Linked DNA regions of Drosophila melanogaster. The protein of the gene in region 1 interacts with the protein of each later gene in a biochemical or structural test. Each region holds a gene or a part of one and is shown on either strand. Other genes may lie near its edges.

The links.
Region 2: the proteins of CaBP1 (region 1) and drpr form a complex in vitro, tested with the Drosophila melanogaster proteins (one study listed by BioGRID).

What each region holds. Positions count from the first base shown.
Region 1 is NT_033779.5:16,353,136-16,359,790, reverse strand, and holds CaBP1 (calcium-binding protein 1), read left to right. Parts: upstream 1-3,055; 5' UTR 3,056-3,238; coding exon 3,239-3,251; intron 3,252-3,320; coding exon 3,321-4,609; 3' UTR 4,610-4,905; downstream 4,906-6,655. Other genes in the region: CG4455 (uncharacterized protein), read right to left, coding at 6,238-6,578. UniProt on the Drosophila melanogaster protein: Binds to both apoptotic cells and phagocytes and promotes Drpr-dependent phagocytosis of apoptotic cells.
Region 2 is NT_037436.4:1,726,649-1,734,087, reverse strand, and holds the start of drpr (draper), read left to right. Parts: upstream 1-2,980; 5' UTR 2,981-3,563; intron 3,564-7,439. Other genes in the region: Oseg4 (outer segment 4), read left to right, coding at 1-227, 279-382, 445-743, 799-2,499, 2,568-2,760. UniProt on the Drosophila melanogaster protein: Receptor which is involved in the phagocytosis of a variety of cells including apoptotic cells, severed and pruned axons, degenerating dendrites, salivary gland cells, germline cells and bacteria.

The DNA.
Region 1 (6,655 bases):
GGGGATTTGGAAAACAACGATCATTGCCATTTAAAACAAAGAAGGAAGCTAGCTTCTGAGTTTTACCTTATAAACTCGGATTTCTTTTCTAATATTTTTAAATATGCCATCCATATAGTCGTCGGATATTCATTAGATGCACAATAAGCAAATTGATATCTACATTGTCATGCAACTTGTGTATACCGAAAAAGAACACTCTATGATCAGACAACAACATATATGAAAGAGTATACTGATTCGGTCATCATACTTTACCAGCATAAAGAAGACTTTTGGCATAGTTTTATGCGGATAGATTTTGAGCGTTGCAACTAATTACAACTAACTAATTACAACTAATAACTAATTACACATAAGGTTTTGGCAGAGGCAAGCAAAAGTCACTTTTCTGTTTCAAAAAATGTATGCAATATTCAAATTCTTCTCGTTTTTCAACCAAATTTACCCCAATATATTTACATCTAATTCCACGACCCCTGTTCATCTTATAATCCATTTTTGCCACCCCGCATCAGGATTTCACGCAATTCTTATCTTAACACATTCACTTGGGCATATTTCAGTAGCACCCCGAATGCATTCACACATGAAAATCCCATAAAAATTGACAATAATAAGCCACATATCATCATTTCACTCTCCACACATATGCACAGACGTATGTGCGTTCCACTCGATAAGAAGTCAGCAAGGCCTGGAAATCAACCAGAAATCGAAGGCTACCCTTACGAAACCGAATCCGAAAGCCGAATGAAGAAGAAAATCCCATAAAAAACAGTTCAATGATATAGAAAAATTGATAAAGCTAAATTTGCAAAAATAACAACAAAGGCACTCGGAAAGGAGAGCGACTGGGGAAATGGCAAATGGAAAACGCGTGGCAGCGAATCAACTTTAAAATAATCCGCACAAGGCACTTGAGAATCCAAAAAAAAAAAAAAAGGAAGTCGAAGGGCACTGGAATCCTCGTGGTGTTGTCAAGTGAATAATGGGACAAATCCGCAGTGTAAATATGACACGTTGCAAAATGGCATTCGATGATAAAATAAAAAGGAATCTCACGGTTCAGGACCACACTCGAAAAAAAGGCCAGGAGACTGTATATTGTGTGTACATATGTACATATATGTGAACAAAAAGCTGATATGAAATATTTTCCTTATCTAAAATGCGCCTTAAAAATCAAGCTACATCTACATATTAATAGAAATTCCATTTAGCTCACTAGTATTTATATTTCATTGCTCTTTATGTTATATATACATTTTTATAATATACTTTATACCTTATATATAAAAAAAATTTTTTTTTTTGCTTTATACACTCATTTTTCATTTTTTTATTTTTTATTTAATACATATATATTTTTTTATAAAAGTAGCAAAAAGAAAGTTATTTTTGCAAGTGAGCACACTCATAAACGCCCCACATCTGCAAGATTGAAGTCACTGACAGACGCACATCCTTCGGGAAAGGTGTTTTGACAGGGCGTCAGGCAAGTCAGAAGTGCAGACACAACAACAGGAGCAATGGCAACAAGGGGTTAATATTTATGCCGCACCCTCACCGTAGCGTATCAATAAAAAGATCGCTCCGCTGGGCATTCAAATTGTTTGTTTGATAAGCCAGTGTGGCGAAGTACGAGCACTGAAACGAATTCTAACTTAGTGATAAACCTAGAAATAATAATATTAAGCTAGATTCATCTTTAAATTTAATATTAAACTTATTGCGCAGATATTGTAATAAAGTAATGTGGTGGTTTCTTTTTTATGTGTCTAATATTTATGTTTTATTAGATATTATTTTTTTCAGTGCTGTAAGTTTATCTGGGGCCAGACTCTCTTTTACCGAAGTTAATACAAATATTACGCCTTTTTATGCTGAAAGCAAAAAGTGCAGGCCAAATGTGGCATAAACTTTACTTTTGGAAAAAAGGGTTGGCCACACCCACCGGTTTTGTAGCCGCCCGAGAAGTTATGACATTGTGTCATTGAATCTTTATGTGTGCATTCGATATGCATTAAAATTCAATAATCATAAAAATAACACGCAAAATAAAGGGAAAATCCAGTCCCCCCGACTGAACAGCTCCCTCCAATTAACCCTTGAATGGCAGAAAAGGAAATTGTCTGACTCTGTGTCTTTCTGTGCCAATATGAACGTCACATAAATCTTGGCAACACTACTACTAAGTCGCTATTAAGTAAAATTGACCACATATTTTATCTCATATGCGCACGCAACGAACGTAGACGAAAATGGCGAGGGTCAGGGGTCATTCGAATGTTGGCTGGTGGGTGGGGAGGGCAGTGGGAGAACAAGCTGGAGAGCCAGAACAATGTGCGAGTAAATTAAGCCAAAGCTTCCAGAAAACACAAATCAAACAAAACGTTGGGAAAGGAAACAATTAAAATGGGGAATTAACAAGGTAAATACAATTAAGGATAGTAGGCTGAAATGAAAGAGAGAAAATGTTATATTATATAAAATCATTTAACCAATAAATTGTTTTATATATGTACCTTTGTTTTTTCAATATTCTTAATATTGTTGCCTGTTGCTTACTAAAAATAATGCAGTTAACTTTTACAGTGAGAGAAATAAATAGATAATTTAATCTACCTTAGAGATAAAGAAAGCAGTACATTGGGGTAGTAGAAGTAGAACTTTGTCATTCTACGTCAAAAGTATCATCACTGAAATTTGCAAGTTTTTTGCATTGGTTTTAATGAATGTGTTAAGAAATCAACCTTGAAATAGCCGCCAAATCACACAGTGTTGTCAATAAGCTCATTTTTAACTTATCTGGCAGCTCTGAAGGATTTTTAGAACCAGTCTAAAATACCGAAATATATCGATAGTGGCAATAAACTTCTCGGACCATTTTCCTTTCGTTATTTGTACGTATATATAATTAGAATTACAAATAAAATCACGCCTTTGTTTTTGTAAAAGTATATAAGATTTGGCTTATTTCACATTATCAGCAGTATCCGCATTTGCCGGCTTCTACATCGATAGTCACAAAGTATTGAAACGCCTATCGAACTATCGAGAGTACGCCGCACTCGCAGTGACGTGTACTCTTTTTTTTTAGCAAAATATAAGCCGCATCTCTACACATAGTTTAGTTTAAAAGAGCCTATCGACAAGACGCGTTGATTAAGAATTTGTTGAGATAAACTCGCAAGAGATAGACACGTAAGCGGTTTCGCAAACTCAAAAAAGAAAGATGAGGCAACTGGGTAAGTTTCCGGCCCATGCACGAAATAGACAAATTATGTTAATAATACATTTTCAATACGCCCCCGCAGCGAGCATTTTGTTGCTGGCATTTGTCGTGGGCAGCGTTAGTGCCTTCTATTCGCCCAGCGATGGCGTTGTGGAGCTGACGCCCTCGAATTTCGACCGGGAGGTGCTGAAAGACGACGCCATCTGGGTCGTGGAGTTCTATGCTCCATGGTGCGGCCATTGTCAGAGCCTGGTGCCCGAGTACAAGAAGCTGGCCAAGGCATTGAAGGGAGTCGTGAAAGTGGGCTCCGTGAATGCCGATGCGGACAGCACGCTGAGTGGCCAGTTCGGTGTACGTGGCTTTCCCACCATCAAGATCTTTGGCGCCAACAAGAAGTCGCCCACGGACTACAATGGTCAGCGAACCGCTAAGGCCATCGCTGAAGCCGCTCTGGCGGAGGTCAAGAAGAAGGTGCAGGGTGTCCTGGGCGGCGGCGGTGGATCGTCTTCCGGCGGTTCCGGCAGCTCGTCCGGCGATGATGTCATCGAACTCACCGAGGACAACTTTGACAAACTGGTCCTGAACTCCGACGACATATGGCTGGTGGAATTCTTCGCCCCCTGGTGTGGTCACTGCAAGAACCTGGCACCCGAATGGGCCAAGGCCGCCAAAGAATTGAAGGGCAAGGTTAAGTTGGGCGCCCTGGATGCCACCGCGCATCAGAGCAAGGCCGCCGAATACAATGTGCGTGGGTATCCTACCATTAAGTTCTTCCCTGCGGGCTCCAAGCGAGCCAGTGATGCCCAGGAGTATGATGGCGGACGCACTGCCTCGGATATTGTATCCTGGGCCAGTGACAAGCATGTGGCCAATGTGCCAGCACCCGAACTCATCGAGATTATCAATGAATCGACTTTTGAAACTGCCTGCGAAGGAAAGCCATTGTGCGTCGTGTCCGTTCTGCCACACATTCTCGACTGCGATGCCAAGTGCCGCAACAAGTTCCTCGACACATTGCGCACCCTGGGCGAGAAGTTCAAGCAGAAGCAATGGGGCTGGGCCTGGGCAGAAGGTGGCCAGCAGTTGGCCCTGGAAGAGTCGCTCGAAGTGGGCGGATTCGGCTATCCGGCCATGGCTGTGGTCAACTTCAAGAAGATGAAATTCTCCGTGCTCAAGGGCTCCTTCTCCAAGGACGGCATCAACGAGTTCCTGCGCGACATCTCCTACGGACGTGGCCACACGGCGCCTGTTCGCGGAGCCAAAAAGCCGGCGATTGTGTCCGTGGATCCTTGGGACGGCAAAGATGGCCAACTGCCCACCGAGGAGGACATCGATCTGAGCGACATCGATCTGGATAAGGACGAGCTGTAAGGCTGTGAGGATCGGAAATCAAGACTGTGCGGCCCAAGCTCAAATTTCCACTTATTAAACTAACAAACACTTGCATTCTGAATGATATTCATTAGTCAGCCATCGTATCTAAATATAAATAACTCTTAATTATCTTTTAGCGTTTTTCTACAATCCTCACATAGATCTAAACGAATCGAAACCAACGATCATATAAACTATGTACCACAAAATGAATAAACTGTGCAACAAAACGTGTAAATTCTGGGCAAGTGTTAATCGGGTTCGGAAAAGCGCGTTTCGTGCTTAGCGAGTTTAAAAAAATGCATAAGTTGAATTTTATACAAAGAAAAGAATTCTTAATATCCGTAAAATTCAGTTTACATTTTCTTCCTTATGGAAATGAGTTTGGCTTATGAATAGATCATTCTTCAGTTATTTCTTTGAAATGAATCATCAAATATGCTTGTTTTCTTCAAAAACTCAATAGCACCATCACATCCAAGAATCAACAAGTGATATACATATTAGTTTTTTATGTATTCCAACGTAGCGCTGTATAAATATAAAGTTATTGTAAATCAATGAATTTAATATAGAATACAGAAGAATTAGTTCATTACCACCCCAAATTCCAATAAAATGTGTGAGAATTTTACCGTTGGGTGAGGTAAAACCATTTATTTTATGTAAAACTCACATAAAAATGTCCAAAAAGATTTGTATATAAACTTTGATAGACTTAATGCTATATAACGTCTAAAAACGTTTTTTTTGACACAATATATAGAAGGATACTCATGCTGGTCTAAATGCACAAACTGAAGATTTCTTAAATGTATTCGTGGCGGCAGATTGGCGCTTAAACTATGATTGGCATGGTACAATTATTAAGTACTTGGTTTCGATTTAAGTACAACCTGTGTATATAAAGGGACGGGAATCGGCGTTTTAAAATGTAGTGCAAAATTCGAGGCATCACGAAGAGTTCGTCTGTTAGTACGATTCGGATTCTTAATGCAAATTGGGTTGCGTGAAGACGGTATAAAAAAGATCGCTAAATTCCCTTGGATTTCGAAAGAAACAACCAGGCAACGTGACTCAATTGCCACAATTTGGCTCTGTCCCACAAAAAAAATGAACAGAGAACAAAGCGGTGAGTAAACGGCTAAAACTACCTGCATTAAAAGAAATAAAAAAAGGCCAAAGATGCAGGAGGGACAAGGAAAAAGGGCCAGAGGACAGGCCAAACTTGTTGAGCCCGGGATTAAGAGAAACAACAGATAAAGAAACAGTCGGGGATGCGTAGGAAACCCAATTTACAATTATGAATGATTAATTCCCTTTCCAGCGAACTCCTCAACTGGTTATTGCTATGTGTAGTACTGCTTTGTTACGAAATTCGGTCAAAATATGGGAAAATTCTTTCAGAGCATTTCGGAACTTCGAATATGTTAAAAAAGTAATTACTTTCCAGTAATGCGAAGGGTATATAGAGATAAAATTCGAGATATTTCTTTTTAAAACTTAGGACCTAAATCTGTAGTCATACTAATGGGTTTTCGTTTCTGGCTGGCATTTAAGTCTTTTTCGCGTTACTAAATTGAAGTACTACTAAACCACTATCCTCCAGGTGTCCACACCCCGAATCAGGCCAACGTATGATGGTGTTTCTGGTCGGGATAGTTCTCTATGGATTGAATGGAGCGCGATGTGGCGGCAGTAATGGTTGAAGATACGTCCATAAACCGATATTTCTTGTCATCGCGACAGAGTAAGGGGTAGCAAATGATGCCGTAGTAGAAGACGAGGCAGAGAACGATTACGGTGAAGATGATGGCGATGATGCCGAATGTGGAGATTCCGGGTCGACTATCCAGATACTCCTTGGCCGTCTGCGGGGGCTGGGTGGTGGTGGGCGGTTCCGTGGCCTTGTAACCCCTTCGATTGTTCCGCGCTGCACTCGCACTGAAAACCAAGCAGCTGGCGCCTGCAATAACGAGATGCGTATCCGTAAAATCTGATCGCGAGGCGATTTCTTCATTTCTTCTCCCTCTCTTTCGCTCA
Region 2 (7,439 bases), on another chromosome or scaffold:
GAGCGTGATCACCTTCTGGAACACCGTCTCAAATCAGAGTTTCCTCAAGGAGGTGGAGCCCACCTTGTGCCTGGCGTCCAGCAGCGAGCATTGCGTCCTGGGCGTCGAGTGTGTCAGCAGCAACATCAAGGAGATTGCGCTGAGCACCCTGGAGAACCGAAGTAATCCTGCGGACGATAGGGTCTACCAGTTGCTCCTCTGCAATTCAATTGGCACCACCGTGGATTGTGAGTAGATCACCGTTGTTGATGTTTCGGACTAATCCCAGTTATTTTTAGCCAAGTACACGGATATTAGACCCTGCTTTGTGGGCATCAACTCGAGCTATGTGGCCATAGCGTCCCAGGAGGAGATTCTAATTTGGCACTACCACACACCCAAGGTGGGCACTTTCAGTCATCAACCTGGTTACCAATTGACTAACCCCCATTGATCTCCCTTCAGAGTGCCTCCACCCTGCACAATGTGAAGGCGCGCAAGGAGAAGCGGTTCCATATCGACGACACGCCCACGGGAGTGGAAATGGCCAAGGACCTGATGCTGAGCAGTAGCAGTGGCGATGGTCACTCCACGCAGCGGGGAATCAGTGATCCCATCTGTGCGCTGGCACTCTCCGAGAAGCTGCTCCTTGTCGCCAGGGAATCCGGCGCTATCAACGAGTACAGCATAGCAAACGTGGCTCTGAGGAACCGCCACCTGATGAACGCCAAGGTCTACAAGATGGCTATCAACTGCAATTCCACGTGGGTAGTCCACCACACTCCCTTGATACTAGTAATATTTATACTCCTTACTTAGACGAGCCGCCATTATCGACCATATGGGCGTGATGACCCTGCTCGACCTGGACGACAACAGGGAGACCCAACTGAACTTCAGTCGGGTGGAGCGCAAGGACGTTTGGGCCGTGAGCTGGGCCACGGATAACCCACTGCTGCTGGCTCTGATGGAGAAAACGCGCATGTATATCTTCCGGGGCAATGATCCCGAGGAGCCCGTGTCCTGCTCCGGCTACATATGCACCTTCGAGGACTTGGAGATCACCAGTGTCCTGCTGGACGACATAATCAGCGTGGGTGAGCTGCAGAATTTTTCGCATATCATTCAGCTGAGGGTAAAGTCCCTGCGCGATACCGACGATCTACTGGAGCACGTGGGACTGGAGGATGCCAAGCAGTTCATTGAGGACAACCCGCATCCGAGGCTCTGGCGACTGCTGGCGGAGTCTGCGTTGAAGAAACTGGAACTGGAGACGGCGGAGAACGCCTTTGTCCGTTGTGCCCACTACCCGGGCATTAAGTTGGTCAAGAGACTGCGCACCATACACTCCAAGGAGCTGCAGAGGGCGGAGATATCAGCCTTCTACGGAGAGTTCGAGGAGGCGGAGAAGCTCTACCTGGACGCGGATCGTCGCGATCTGGCCATAGAGCTGCGCATGACCCTTTGCGATTGGTTTCGCGTGGTGCAGCTGTACAGAATGGGAGGATCGGGAGTGTCGGACCAGCAGATGGAGATCGCTTGGCGGGAGATTGGCCACCACTTCGCCAACCTGCGCTCCTGGGAGAGTGCCAGGGAATACTACGAGAAGTCCCACTACCTGGAGGGTTACATGGAGGCTCTGTACCACTTGGAGCAGTTCGACGACTTGGAAAAGTGCGTGGAACGGCTACCGGAGAAGAGCCCGCTGCTTCCGAAGCTGGCCGAGATGCTGGCCTCCGTGGGCATGTGCTCCGAGGCTGTTCAAGCCCATCTTCGATTCGGCGACCAGAAGGCCGCCGTCGCCACCTGCGTTAATCTCCGGCAGTGGGGCGAGGCTGTTGAGCTGGCCCAGAGGTTCCAGCTGCCCCAGGTGCAAACGCTCATAGCCAAGCACGCGGCACAGTTGCTCCAGGAGGGACGCCTCAAGGAAGCCATCGAGATGCAGCGGAATGCTGGGCGTCATCTAGATGCAGCTCGCCTGCTTTCTCAAATGGCGGAACGGGAGCAAGAGAAGCGTGCTCCGCTGCTGAGAATCAAGAAGCTGTACGTGCTGGCTGCTCTGCTGGCCGAGGAGCACCTCAAGGCTGTGGCCACGACGGAGATCGACTACGCCAGCGGCAGGAACACCCTACTGGACTCCATTGCCCTGGAGGATGCGGCCGCCATCGAGAGGCTTTGGCACTGCGCCGAGGCCTACCACTTCATGCTCCTAGCCCAGAGGCAGCTTCGCTTCGGGATCGTCCACAGTGCGGTGGTCACTGCGGTGAGGCTGCGCGACTACGAGGACGTCCTGCCTCCAGAGCACATCTACAGCCTGTTGGCACTGGCCAGCTGTGCGGATCGGGCCTTCGGAACCTGCTCCAAGGCTTTCATGAAGTTGGAGCAACAGGCTCATCTTCCCGAGGCTACCCTTCAACGGTACGAGGAGTTGGCGGCTGGGATCTTCGCCAAGTACGATCCGGAGGACACCACTGGCGATAGGGTGGATTGCTATTCCTGCGGAGTGCCCGTGCCAGATAGGTAAGTGAAGGGTCGACGTCAGAAGCTGGATTATAATGATGATACTCATGGAATGCCGATCCTTTCAGCTCCCCCTCCTGCCCCGAGTGCAATGCTCGCTTCCCGGCGTGCATCTCCTCCGGGAAACCCATCACCCAGCCGACGAACAACATATGGATCTGTACCACCTGCCACCACTGCGCAGCTCCCACCGAGATCTCCAGGCACCGAACTTGCCCACTGTGCCACAGTTTGATCGTGTCCATGACGGTGGAGATCTGAAATGAGCGGGGACTAGTGTTTTAATTACTCCAGCTGTTTTTCATTCTGCTTATCCCAGGTGGTACAGGCGTATCTACTCCGCAAATAAACAATGTAGTTTTAAGATAGAATTCAAATTTATTTTCAAGTGAAAAGTGTTATAAGTGGAAAGAGTGACTGTTCACAGTGAGTATTTCCTGGGGAGTGCGCTAGGGCCACACTACTAGCTCATCCAACACTCGCAAAGCGGTCACACTGGCGAGTGCAGCTAAGTAAGTCGGTTGTCCGTTTCTTGCTGAATTTTAAATAAGTTAAATAAATTTCTGCTTCGTGCGGTGGTGTGCGTACGCAAATATAAAATAAAGTAAATAGTAATTGCGGTGCTTGCGAAAACCAAACGAGCTCCAATTGACCGACGAAAATACTTAAGTGCATTAAAGAATTGCGTTGTTGTGCGTCGCGCCCGTTTGTCCTTATTGTTGTCGTTAGTGGAGTGCACGAAAAGTAATTGTTTTTATTTAAAGAGGTTGCATTTTAATTGCTAAATCAGCTCAGTTGCGAGTAGAGTGCCAAAATAGAGAGTAGCGACAACGAAAACAAGTTTTTGTGGATGGTGAGAAAGTAAAAACAATAGCAAATTTATATATATAGCTATATATATATGTGGTAAGGTGCTGTAAGCATTTAAAAATACAAATCCTCTCGAGGTTTTAATGGCCAAAGTTTCGTAAACGTGTAAATTGAGTGGAATTCGATTGCGAGTGCATTCTTGGTTTGTTTTGAGTGAGAACCGAAAACCAGTTTACACCGTGCTTCTTGCCAAGGTGAGTTTTAACCCCAATCGTGGCAGTTTAACGTTAATTTTAGTCATTGTTATGTTGTTAAAAATAAGTTTTCTTCTGTTAAATGTGCAATTTCGCCTGGTTAGCTTTGTCAGCTCTCTTTCCCTTCCACCTTTCTTCTTTCCCAACGAGCGGTTTGTTTATGACCGCAGTAGTGCACTTGTGTGCGTGTCAATTAGCGCTTTTATCGGGCGCACACCAAGAACAGTTAAACCTGTTCTGGTTTCTCTTTCGCACAATTTAATGGCCTTTCTTTGGCTTTAGTTTTGCGCTTTCGTCGACTTCTTCTTCTTTGTATCTCATGCATGTATCTTTATATCTGTCATTCGGGGAATTGGCAGCAAATCGGCAAACTTCTCTTTCATCGACCCCCTGCGACCAGCACCTCGCTCCCTGGAAACCCGCATCTTGTGGATTCTTTCCAGTTTCCAGATTGCTGCTGAAGCTTCCAGCTGTCACAGCCGCAACAACAACAACGCCAACGGATCAAATGAAAACCCAGCCAGCATAAACTCACACACATCGAAATTGCCTAACTAACGCACACATTAAAATACAGTCGATGCATCGTCACGAAAATAAATAACAATAATAGCCGTTTATAATTTAGATCAAGTCGCAAAAAATTTTTTTGCGTTTAATTCTTTATGAGTACTGATTAAGGTATCAGTTCAGCGATATTTCATATTACTTCTGAATATGGGGGTGCACACAAATTAAGATATATGTAGAAACCGTTCTTATTTTTTATAGAATTCATTAAATAAGTATGGAATAAACTGCGATCATATTTCCCATACAAAGCATTTTTATTTTTCACACAGTTTCCTTAACCAAGCGATTTTAAGCTTAACCTTATATTTCTGACACTGGCAATGGAACTTGATTTTTATTATCATACGTGATTTAATGAACAATGACGCCTGCTTAGGACACGAGCTTCGAAATGCAATGCACAGCGAAAAGTCCCACAAGCCATTGCAAAATTAAAAACTGAAATGGCACTCAGAGGTGCACTCTCCCCACCCTCGGTATCATATCATATCATACCATGCCGTACATGTCACAATGTCTGTTTAGGTTCCTTTATGGAGCCGGGCTTTGTCGTCGCCATGATTACTCAGCTTTATTGATAATGCTGGGTGGAGGAGTGGCAGGGAGTGGCTGGGATGAAACCTCCTGGGATTTCTTGTCCAATGTGGCGGTGGTTAGAGAGCAACCCATGAGTCGGGATGTTAGTTTTCCCCTTATGATTACGACATTCTCTGTTCTCTATCTTTTCGCTTTGGGTTTGCATTATCCAACATTTTTCTTTGCTTTCTCCGTATTGTTGCAAGTGCATTTCGCTTTTGCTGATGATTATGCTTAATTCTTGTTCGTCTGTCTGCATTGCAATGTGTGGGTGCCTTTCCACTAGAATAATATACACATGTTTTCTTGGTTTTCAGCTGAAATCGGTTCTCTTCGCTGAATCAATCGAGAAAGCTTCTAGCTCTATCCAAATTCGGGCTAGAAATCCGAGCTTCGCCCGCTAATTGGCCAATACAAACTGAGGTGTTGAGTGTTTGGCTCACTTGTGAAATGAATACGAAACAGCTGAAATCACTGTTTCTCACTGATACTTCATAATGGCAGCTAACATCCATCCCAAAATAATAACGTTTGAGAACCCTTTGCCTCTTTGCTTTAATTAAACTGTTCACTGAAAGTTTTGATTGGCCTAGCATTTACGTAGTTCACAAATGTAAGACCCTAGACCTCGTGCAAACTGATATTCTTTCAATAATTTCATTTCCTGGGCCAGAACAACTTGTTTTTATACCAAATCTATTTCTTGCCATTGAAATCGTTTATTATTCTTAATAATCGTTTTTGCCAAATGTGCTTTGTCGCCTCGCCAAGGCGTTAAATTGCCCACTGAACGCCAAACATATGCGTTGCGGTTATTGGAGATGTGTATTGTGGATTCAGTAAACTCGACTTTGATTTCGCTATCCAAAGTACAGCTCAAGTGAGGGCTCCTCCTTTGTAGAATAATTCTGTTTATATAAAGCGGGAAGCGACAATCTTTGTTTAGCCTTTATCAAGTGCGCAGTACTTGAAGTTGGGGGAATAGCTGGCTCATTTTCCCCCTATGCTTAAGATTATAGTAATCCAAGTCAAATCCAGATGTTTACATATGCACTGTGCTGAATCAATTGAAAATACATCACAAAATATATACACACAACTTGAAGAATATAAGACCTACTCTTAGCTCTGATGGAGGTTTAATTGGAACGAAAATAGGCAATGCTTATACTTTATAAAATACATATCATTCTAATTGAATGAAATAGACGAATGCCATTGAGTTTTTTTAACAACAAAGCTTTCTCCTTAGTCCGAAAGTATTTCGCAGATTTTCTTTGGTTTGTTTTTGTTTTGTTTTTTTCTTTCGAAAGCTTTCATCGAAAATCAGGAAATTAGTCATATATAAGTACCTACATATGTATACATTATAGACAGATTGCCAGCGGAAACGGACTCGCAACTTACTTCTAATCAATCTTCTATTACCTTTGCTAACATTTTATGGTTCTCCCTCAACTTTTCGTTGACCCCTTCCGATTAAGAACCACTATCAGTGTGCCTCATCGTGTTGTTTCTGCTTGTCCAATACTGGGCGCAGATAAGGGCGAGGTATGATAAATATGAGGTGTGCCAAAAGTACACACATATTGGGAAAGGTCTGAAATACAAACCTGCGAATTGAGCGGTAGATTGACCCGAAGTTCGAGCCTTAGCCAGACTTTTGTGAATGAAATCCGAGTGACTCAGCATTGGAACAGATGCTGGGTATGCGGTATCGATGAATGGTGCATGGATTCGATACTCGATAAAACAAACTGTGCCGAACACGTTTTCCATTGAAAAATCTCGCACACTCGCCTATTATACATACAACTAACAGATCCGTATAGTTTATAGACTATAGTCTAGCATTGTTTAACCTAAGGTGACTCATCCACGACATATTCATTTAGCTCATTAAAACACCAATCAGGCATGTAAACAAATAAGTAAATTGCAAATGTAAGCTCGTTGTCTCGTGCAAGTTCGCATTTTAATATGATCTACATATGCGGAAGGGAAGATTGAGTGGCAAAATGAAACTTAATGGCAATGGGTTAGAGTAACACCCTAGTTTATGGTTAATATTTTTGATTCCAAAGGTTTATACTTTGTTTGAAAAACGTGGACTCTGCTAATCGTTAAAATGAAAGATTTAGCATTCAAATTGCAAATTAAATTAGACCGGATTGTTTGGTTCACACGATTTCGTTGTCCATCGTAAATTTGTATGATGTTACGGGATGATTTGGTATTATTCTATTAGTCTTTGTCCATGACCGGATTACGCACCTTCCGTTCCGTGGATCTGCTTATATATAGAGAGACTGAATTAGTCACCTACAACAGAACAAATATCAGTGAACCTCATCGCTGTTGTAATGGATGAGAATGACTGCGGCGGTCTTATCATCCACCCTTATCACTTGTAAAATCTTGAGCAAAGTCGAGGGGTATGCCAAATGGTTATCTCTTTCTACTTTAGGTTATATTGCCCCAGTTGTATATTATCGTTTCGGCTATCTTAAGGATTGTAATATGTATCTAAGAGGGCGAACACATTCACGATCTGCTCTAAAACGTGAACGTTCTATTAACACTGGGTTTCGAACAATTTCTCGTTTAAAATTTATTTGGCGCCGTTGGCAGTTCATCACGCGATTTCTTGCTAATGACGGCCTTGACAAACACCACTTTCTGATGAGTTAAGGGAGCACCTGCCGTGCGATTAAGTGAATCAGATTT